Linked DNA regions of Oryctolagus cuniculus. The protein of the gene in region 2 purifies or fractionates together with the protein of the main gene of each other region. This does not show direct contact. Links are inferred from orthologs where the notes say so. Each region holds a gene or a part of one and is shown on either strand. Other genes may lie near its edges.

Region 1 (4,420 bases), on a different chromosome or scaffold from region 2:
CTAGAGGAGAGGCTGGGAGGAGCCGTACCCGCCCCACGGCCCGTCACCCCGACAGGATATGCCTCACAAACGCTGCAGGAAGGAAGAGACATTCGTGGTGAAGACAAGACACGGACACGGGTGAAGGGTCAGGCGCTGGGGGACACACATCCCGTGGAGTCTACGTCCCCTTCCTTCCCCACTCTCCGTGCCACGTTCCCCCTTCCTTTCCTGTCATCCTCCCCCTGACCCTCTCCCCCAACCCCTGGGCTGGGCCAGGCCAAGCCCTGCCCTTTGCCTCCTGGCTCCTCTTGGAGCCCAAGTCCAGGGATATGAAAAACCCCAAGTCTTATCCCTAAGCTGACCCCTGTGACTGCCCCAGGTGACCCCTCACCTTCGTAGTTGATACAACCATTGCTGTCCTCGTGCCCTGCCACCAGCATCTCTACTTCCTCCTCTGTCATCTTCTCACCTGCAGAGGGAAGGAGGCATTTTTTAAGGTGGGTGACAAGTGAGGTCTCTCAGAGTGAGTAGGAGTAGCTCAGCTCAAGGACAGAGCCTTACCCAGTGTGACAAGGACATGGCGGATCTCAGCACCCATGACAGTGCCGTTCCCTTCCTTGTCAAACACCCGAAGGCCTTCAACGTAATCCTCATAGGTTCCCTGGTCCTTGTTCTTGGCCACAGTCTGCAGCATGGGCAGGAAGTGCTCAAAGTCCAGCACCTTCACATTCATCTCTGTCATAAAGGAAGCATGGGGACGTCAGGCCAGGAAGTCACACGAGCTCTCAGGAGGGAACTCTCAGGATCACAGTCAGCAAATGACTCCAGGGGTGGGAGGTGGGCGCTCTGGCCTAGCAGGTAGAGCCACTGCCTGCAACATCGACACCCCATATGGGTGTCAGTTATGTCCTGGCTGCTCCACTTCCAATCCAGCTCCCTGCTGTGGCCTGGGAAAGCAGCAGAAGACGGCCCAAGTGTGTGGGCCCCTGCACCCATGTGAGAGACCTTGAAGAAGCTCCTGACTTCATGGCTTCAGCCTGGCCCAAGCCTGGCTCTTAGCCATTTGGGAAGTGAACCAGCAGGTGGAAGATCTCTCTGTCTCTCCAACTCTTTCACATAAATACATCTTAAAAAAAAAAAAAAGACTCAGCAGGGGCAACCTGGGATTTCCTAATCGAGACAAGACTTGCTTGAGCTTGGGGCCTCTGAAGCTCTCAATTGGAGTGGGGCTGCTCTCTACGACCCTCACCGTCACTCTTGGGGTTCCCCAGGACCTTGAGCACCTCGGCGTTGGTGGGGTTCTGGCCCAGGGCCCTCATCACGTCCCCACACTGGCTGTACAGGATCTTGCCATCGCCTGTCCGGTCAAACAGCTGGAAGGCCTCCTTGAACTCTGAGGATTCAGATGAAGGTCAGTACTGGGGCCGTGGGGGTTAACCTGAACCCTGCCTTGGGAGGGCCCTGATCAAGCTGAGGAAACCAGATACCTCTACACTAAGTGTCCCAGGAGGGATCCATTTCTCCTCCCAACTCAAGTGTCCCACATGAAGAATCAGCCACCCGGTCCCCTTGGTGGTCTGCTAACATCCATGTGCACACACCCTCCGCCTGCAGCAGGCCTGCCAGCCTCCCGCTACTAAAACACTACTCAGGGCAGGAATTTGCCACCGCCCAGTCTGGGTCATGTCCTTATAAGGAAGTGGGAGCAACAGCCCAAGACCTGGGTCATCCCAGCTGGCCACTTCCACCATACAAAGACCTTAGCAGAGTAAAACTATAGTCACATCCTGGGCACACTCCCCTGTCCCCGACTTCAGGGAAATAATCAGGTCACTGCCCTTCACAATCTGCACGATTCAAGCCGGGGGTGGGGAGAGCAGGGAGGGAGAGTTAAAGGAGGAGAGAAGAGGCAGATGTAGTGATTAAGGGACAGCAGAGGCACGCAGACCCTCCCCAAACCCCACACACAGCAGGCACTAGGTGACCACATACCCACACCTAAAACTCACCCAGTGCTTGGGGCTCAGATCTAGAGTAGAAGGGGAGTGAGGAAGAAAGTGAGAAAAGGAAACAGAGGACCCGGAAGAAGGGAGAAGGGACTCCAGGGATACTCTCCCGAGGGTGGGGGTGGGGGGCGGTAAAGAGATAACAGTTTGGGGTTAGGAGCCAGAGGGAGTGTCCTTCTCCCTGAAGATGACCTCAGTTGGAGCCAGAGAATGACCTACCTGCCGTCTGGTCCTCGGTGAAGTCGCACTGCTCGGAGAAGAGGTAGCGGTCAGCACCCGAACTCCAACCTCCCCCCCCCCCCCGCCCCATGCTCCATCCCCGTCCCACAAACTCCTCTTGCAGGCTGGGGCTCCGCTCCCCAGCAGCACCAGGACCCCAGGCTTTCCAACCCACCCAGATCCCCTTCGCCCGCTACCCTGGCCTGCTCCTCGTCCCCTGCCCCCGGCTGCCCGCCTCGTCCCAAACCCCACTCGGCTCCCAGGCCCCGGGCCCCACCATCTTGACCGCTCAGCTCTGCGGGATCTTTTCCTGCAGTAATGGCTCCGGCTCCGGGCCCAACCCTAGTCTTAGTACGCCCTGATGACGTCACCCCGGGCCGGCCAGCCAATGGGCGCCCCGCCCCGGGCTCGGGCGGTTACATTACTGCATTAGTAATGAGACGGGCGGGGTCGCTCGCACCTGAGCCCGCAGACGCTCGAGCGGGTGGGGGGTCGGGCGCAGCGATCTGCTCCTCCTAACTCCCAGAACATCGGAGGATGAGGTACCGGGAAGTGGGGAAAGGCGTCACTCCCCTCCAACCCCACAAAGAAAACCAGTCTGAGACCGAGGAAGGAACCGTGTCTTTATTTTGAAACAATAGGTGGCCTCCTAGTGGCAGGAACGTGCTTCCTCCTGCAGGGGGTGGGGGGAATCAGTATCTGGCCCCGCGGGATCTGTGGGAAAAAAATGAAAGTTGCCAAGCTCTGACGCCCGCGCAGTCCGCGGCTTTCTGAGCTGGCGGGAGGCGGGGGAGACTCGGCCCTCAGGTCGCAGGGCCCTACCTGTAGAGCTCAGACGCTTAGGATGTGCTTCAGGAAAGCTGCGGAGAGAGGAGGCAGAGGGTCCTCAGACCCGGGCCTGCGGACACCGCGCCCGACTCTAGGTAACCCAGGGTGCGCCCAGCCGCCCCCGAAGGGCCCCTCCCGCCCCGGCCCCTCACCCTCGTAGTTGATGCATCCGTTGCTGTCCTCATGTCCCGCCAGGACAGTCTCCACCTCCTCCTCAGTCATCTTCTCTCCTGCACCCCAGACACGGCGGCGTTGGAGCCCCGCCCTGGCGCGGTCCCTCAGGGGCCCAAGCCACACTCTTCTGGGTGGCACCTCTTATCCCACCCTGGAGACTTGCTCGGAGCCACTCCCCCCAAGGACATCCTCCCGCTGTCGCGGTAAAGCCTCTTGTTTTGCATCTCGACTCGTAACAAAGTGCCTTGCTACTGATGGGAGTTTCTAGGGACAAGGGAACTGACTCCCAGGGGTGACGGGCACACGTCTCCCACTTGTCTCCCGTTCTCTGCCCTGTGGGAGGCACGTTAGCCTCTGGAAGCGCCAGCCCTTCAGGTCCTGTCCCCAGCCCTTCCATCTCCTGCCCAGCAGGGCAGTAATCCTCTCCCTGGCTCTGCCTACCCTGGTCCACTGCTCCCCCACTCCCCCACCAGCCCTCATAGAATTCTGTCCCTGCCTCACCCAGGGTGGTGAGGACGTGTCTCAGCTCTGCTCCCATGACTTTGCCGTTTCCCTCCTTGTCAAACACCCGAAGCCCCTCCAGGTAGTCATCGTAAGAGCCTTGGTCCCGGTTCTTGGCCACTGCCTGGAGCATGGGCAGGAAGGTCTCAAAGTCCACACGCCGGGACTTCAGCTCTGGCGGTTGGAGGGAAGCATGAGACAGGTCAGTGTGATGTCGCCGGGGCCCCTCCCACACCACCTTTCATCGTGCTCAGCATTCGGGATGTTTTTCTGCCTGGTGTCTGACGGTTTCTCAGGTCCCGAGATCCAGCCCAGCATCCTTTGTCACCTTACCGACATCTAGCCACAGAAAAACCTGCGTTGTCCCAAGGATCCCCTCACCGTCACTCTTGGGGTTCCCCAGGACCTTGAGCACCTCGGCGTTGGTGGGGTTCTGGCCCAGGGCCCTCATCACGTCTCCACACTGGCTGTACAGGATCTTGCCATCCCCTACTCGGTCAAACAGCTCAAAGGCCTCCTTGAACTCTGGGGGACACAAGGAGGGATCACTGTAGTCCAGGACTCCCATCACTCCCAGACAGAGGCAGGCTCAGCAACTATGTGTGACAGCTGGGAAGAGCCAGGGAGGAAAAAAGAACTATGTGGCAGGCTTCAAGGTCAGGGCCGGGGTTAGGGGAACAGCAAGAGGATCTGACCGGGGCCTTGGGACT
Region 2 (3,801 bases):
TGTTCTCGCTGCCTTGTGCAAGCGGAGTCACACTCAAGCCTTCCTCTCTCTCCAACACTAGGATCTGAACAAGGACAGCTGCCCCGAGTCTGTCTTAGTCTCTACCCAAAGCCTGTTCTGTTCCCACCCAACATTTCAGTACATCTGCTGCTCAATTCTTCTAGCATTTTCTTCTTTAACCCTTTGCAACCTGGCTTCTGTATCTAAAGCTCTCACCATTAATTATGATCCCCATTCCCACCTCCCAAACCCAGCATCTATTCTTAGTCATCACCTGGCTCACAGTCTCTGCACTCTCTTTCCGCCCTAGGCCTACGCTGGGACTTCCAAGGCACTCAAAGCCATTTCTGGGGGCAGGCGATGTGGCACAGCAGGTAAAGCCGTTGCCTGCAGTGCCGGCATCCCATACAGGCACCGGTTCGAGTTCCGGCTGCTCCACTTCCAATCCAGCTCTTTGCTGTGGCCTGGGAAAGCAGTAGAAGACGGCCCAAGTGCTTGGACCCCTGCATTCATATGGAAGACCCAGAAAGAAGCTCCTGGCTCCTGGTTTTGGACTGGCGCAGCTCCGGCCATTGCAGCCAATGGGGAGTGAACCAGTGGATGGAAGCTCTCTCTCTCTCTCCTTCTCTCTGTGTAACTGTGACTTTCAAGTAAAGTGAATAAATCTTAAAAAAAAAAAAAAAAAGCCATTCGTCTCTGCTTGCTTTCAGTAGCTTCCACGATCTCCACCCCAATCTTTAAGGCTCTGTTGCCGCATTTTGGGATGTTTGGGGTGGCTGCAGGTCAAACGTGTAATCCCTCCCCAACTAGAACAACCCCCTTCCCCAGTCGTCCCCTCTCCTCTAACATCAACACTACTGCGCACACACGATGCGAGGGGCACACGCTCTGGACTCAGGCAGGGCTGGAATCTGTCATTACAAGCTGTAGGTCTCAGGCAAGTTATTTAATGGATAAGGATCTCAGTTTCCTTATCTATAGAACGGGAATGACAAGACTCACCTCACAGGGATACCGCCAAGATAAAAGGAAAGAGCACGGACAAAAGAAACCGACAGTAGGTTCTCAGTAAGGACCGGCTCCGCCTTCCCTGCCTCACACGTGCTTTGGGTCGGCACGCTGCAGTCACGGGAAGGCAGGTTCTCGCCCCCACACGCATCTAATCAGTGCGGCATCCAAAGGCTGAGAGGCTTTCAAACAGTGCTCTGTGCAGCCTTAGGGGCTTCCCAGAGCCCTCGAGGGCTGGGCTCCAGGTGCCCCAGTCCTGGAGCTGCCGGAGCAGCTGCAGCTTTACCTGCTCTCCATATTGGGCTTCTAAGTTTTCATTTAATGAAACGGAGTCCTACGGTTAATATCTGGAAACTACTTTTCTCCTTCGACAATGAGAAACAGGTGTCTTAGCAGCCAAGCGACTCACCCAACCCTTCCCACTGCCATGCACCCTTCTCTGGACTGGTGTCACGCACCTGGCTGACCCAACTGCCATCTGCAGGGGTGGCACTGGAATCCCTCACTGCTAATGGTCCCCAAGCTTCCAAAGGCTCTCACGCTGCAGTGCCAGATTCCTGCCTCACGTCTCGTTCCTCACCGCTCCCCTGCATGCACACCGCATTCTAGGTGTAGTCTGGCCACAGGGCCTTCCCCGCCTCTCCACCTCGGCTCAGCCAGGCTCTCCGGCCTGGAATGCCCTTCCTCTGCACACTCAAGCCCTACCCATCCCATGTCAAGTCTGGCTCAGGCCCCGCTCATCTTGTGCAATCTTCCTGAAGCACTGCTGCTCCTGGCCTTTCCTGTATCCCCTGTCATTTTCACAGTCAACACCATCACTAATTTCTAATGGTCTTCTCGTTGTTTCGGGTTTACATTTCTAATGGGTTTTATCACTGCGTTAGGTTTACGTGCCACATTTCCCCAGTAAGAGCCAAGAGCTCACTGAGCTTAGGAACCATCCTCTGTACTTTCCATCTATCTGCCAAGGTACACAGAATTCCAACTCTGCAGTAGGCAATCAATTACAGGACGGACTCACTGATCCTGCCCCGGGTTAGAGTCACAGACCCACGCCCCGCCCCCTTTCACTCTGCTGGAGACAGCCAAGGAGCTTGGAGACCCAGGAACACCTATCTCCTCTGGACTTGCTCACACCAGATCTAACCACCCCCATCCTCCGGGCAGGTTCACGCTTGCTCCAGGAGCTCTCCTCACTCCATCTCGCCTCCCTCTACCCGGCACGTGCCTGTCACAGGAGAGTTAGCCGCTTCACGGTGGTGTATGTCAAACCCAAACCCTACCTGCTCACTGGTGGCTGGTGTTTCCAGGATCTCCGTCAAGGTCTCTCCTGGCTGGAAGCGGATGACATCCACAATTAAACGCTTTGTGCTGCAATGAGATGAGGGAAGCATTCAGACACCAGCTGGCGGGCGCTCCCCTCCCTGTTCAGTGACTGCAGCAGCGGCGGCGGCGGTGGCGGCGGCACAAACATCATCCCAGGGAGTCCCAGCGGGCGGCTGCTCGCACGAGGCACTCAGGGCCTAGGTTATTTATGCAACTGCACTGTACAGTGGAGTGGGCCCAGAGCCAGTATTTACAACAGTAAACTTCACTTTAGCAGACTGGCAAAACAAGGTGGTTAAGTCCTATGCCGAGTAAGATACGCAAGGTAACCGTAACCACAGTTGTGATGGTGAGGGGCCGAGATGGTCCTTTCAGGTCGGACCCAGTGGGCCTGTCACCAAAGGCCAAGGGGCCTCTGGGACAATGTCACCATGACTCTCACTGCTTCTGATATACTCACTTCAGCAGGATAGTCCGGGCGTCCATTTCTGCGTTCTCGTCTCCCGGGACGTCAAGCTTGTTGGTCAGCGTGAGAGAGACTTCCGTCTTCGCCAGACCTTCCTTGTTCGGGTCGTTCACGTTGCCAGAGCTTTCCCCTGAAGTTTTGGGAGGGCAGAAAGAATCAATAGAGGAGACGCTGGAGGCAAAGAACACAAACAGAAGAGGACGCAAGCCGAGGACGGCAGGCGACCAAGCCGACACACGCGGCAGGGCAGGGCAACCTCCCTGAGAGGTCTTGTAAAATGTTACGCCAGGTAATAAAGGCAAAGGAGACACGGTAAAGTAACTTCAGTCGTGTCGGCGCTGCGGCCCAGCGCTCCCCCAGGCCTCCTCCCCTTCCGGGACCGGTCACAGGACGAGCCGTGACTGCACGTTTACCTCGTCCCTCCCGCTGGCTGCAGCCCTTCCCAGACAGGGGTGGTCTCTGTTTTCCACTGCACATCCAGAGACAGTGCAGAGACTCAGAACTTTACCTATCAGGGACTCGATGGTGGGCACCTCGCCAAGGTCGTCCAGCAGCTCATGGATCGGGTCATTGTGCTCCGGGGCGATGGCGTCCTGGTGATCTAACAGGAGCTGCGTCCAAAACCAACCATCAGTCCATTCGCGTCCTCAGTCCTCGCGCCCAGCCCCTCCCTGAGTGCTGAGCTTCCTCGTCCAAAGAACGGACAAACCAACCCTCACCTCAGCAAGCGGGCCCAGCCAACGTGACCCGAGAGCACCACCGTGTGCCCTGCTGGTGTCCCGTTACCACACAGGGAGAGGAAATACTGGCACTCTCTCAACCTCGCGGCCATATGGCATTCAGACGGAGCGGAGTGGAGCAGACCCTCAGGCTTCACTACCCCACGTTGGGCCCAGTGCTGCGGTGCAGCCGCAGCCCGAGACGCCAGCATCCCATCTTGGCTGCTCCGCTTCCAATCCAGCCAACGCTAATGTGGCTGGAGAAGCAGTGGAGATGGGCCA

Evidence for each region.
Region 1: the proteins of IQGAP1 (region 2) and MYL6 purify together in Homo sapiens (affinity purification with mass spectrometry; 4 studies listed by BioGRID and IntAct, counting the BioPlex papers as one, with this or other methods). This does not show direct contact. The link is inferred for Oryctolagus cuniculus from reciprocal best matches to the Homo sapiens genes IQGAP1 and MYL6.

What each region holds. Positions count from the first base shown.
Region 1 is NC_091442.1:58,964,206-58,968,625, reverse strand, and holds the start of MYL6 (myosin light polypeptide 6), read right to left. Parts: upstream 2,811-4,420; 5' UTR 2,488-2,810; coding exon 2,485-2,487; intron 2,236-2,484; coding exon 2,208-2,235; intron 1,376-2,207; coding exon 1,232-1,375; intron 718-1,231; coding exon 544-717; intron 452-543; coding exon 374-451; intron 73-373; coding exon of another isoform or gene 44-72; exon of another isoform or gene 29-43; intron 1-28. Other genes in the region: myosin light chain 6B, read right to left, coding at 3,039-3,067, 3,188-3,265, 3,711-3,884, 4,092-4,235. UniProt on the Homo sapiens protein: Regulatory light chain of myosin. Does not bind calcium.
Region 2 is NC_091443.1:100,724,679-100,728,479, forward strand, and holds part of IQGAP1 (ras GTPase-activating-like protein IQGAP1), read right to left. Parts: intron 3,412-3,801; coding exon 3,309-3,411; intron 2,931-3,308; coding exon 2,795-2,930; intron 2,380-2,794; coding exon 2,292-2,379; intron 1-2,291. UniProt on the Homo sapiens protein: Plays a crucial role in regulating the dynamics and assembly of the actin cytoskeleton.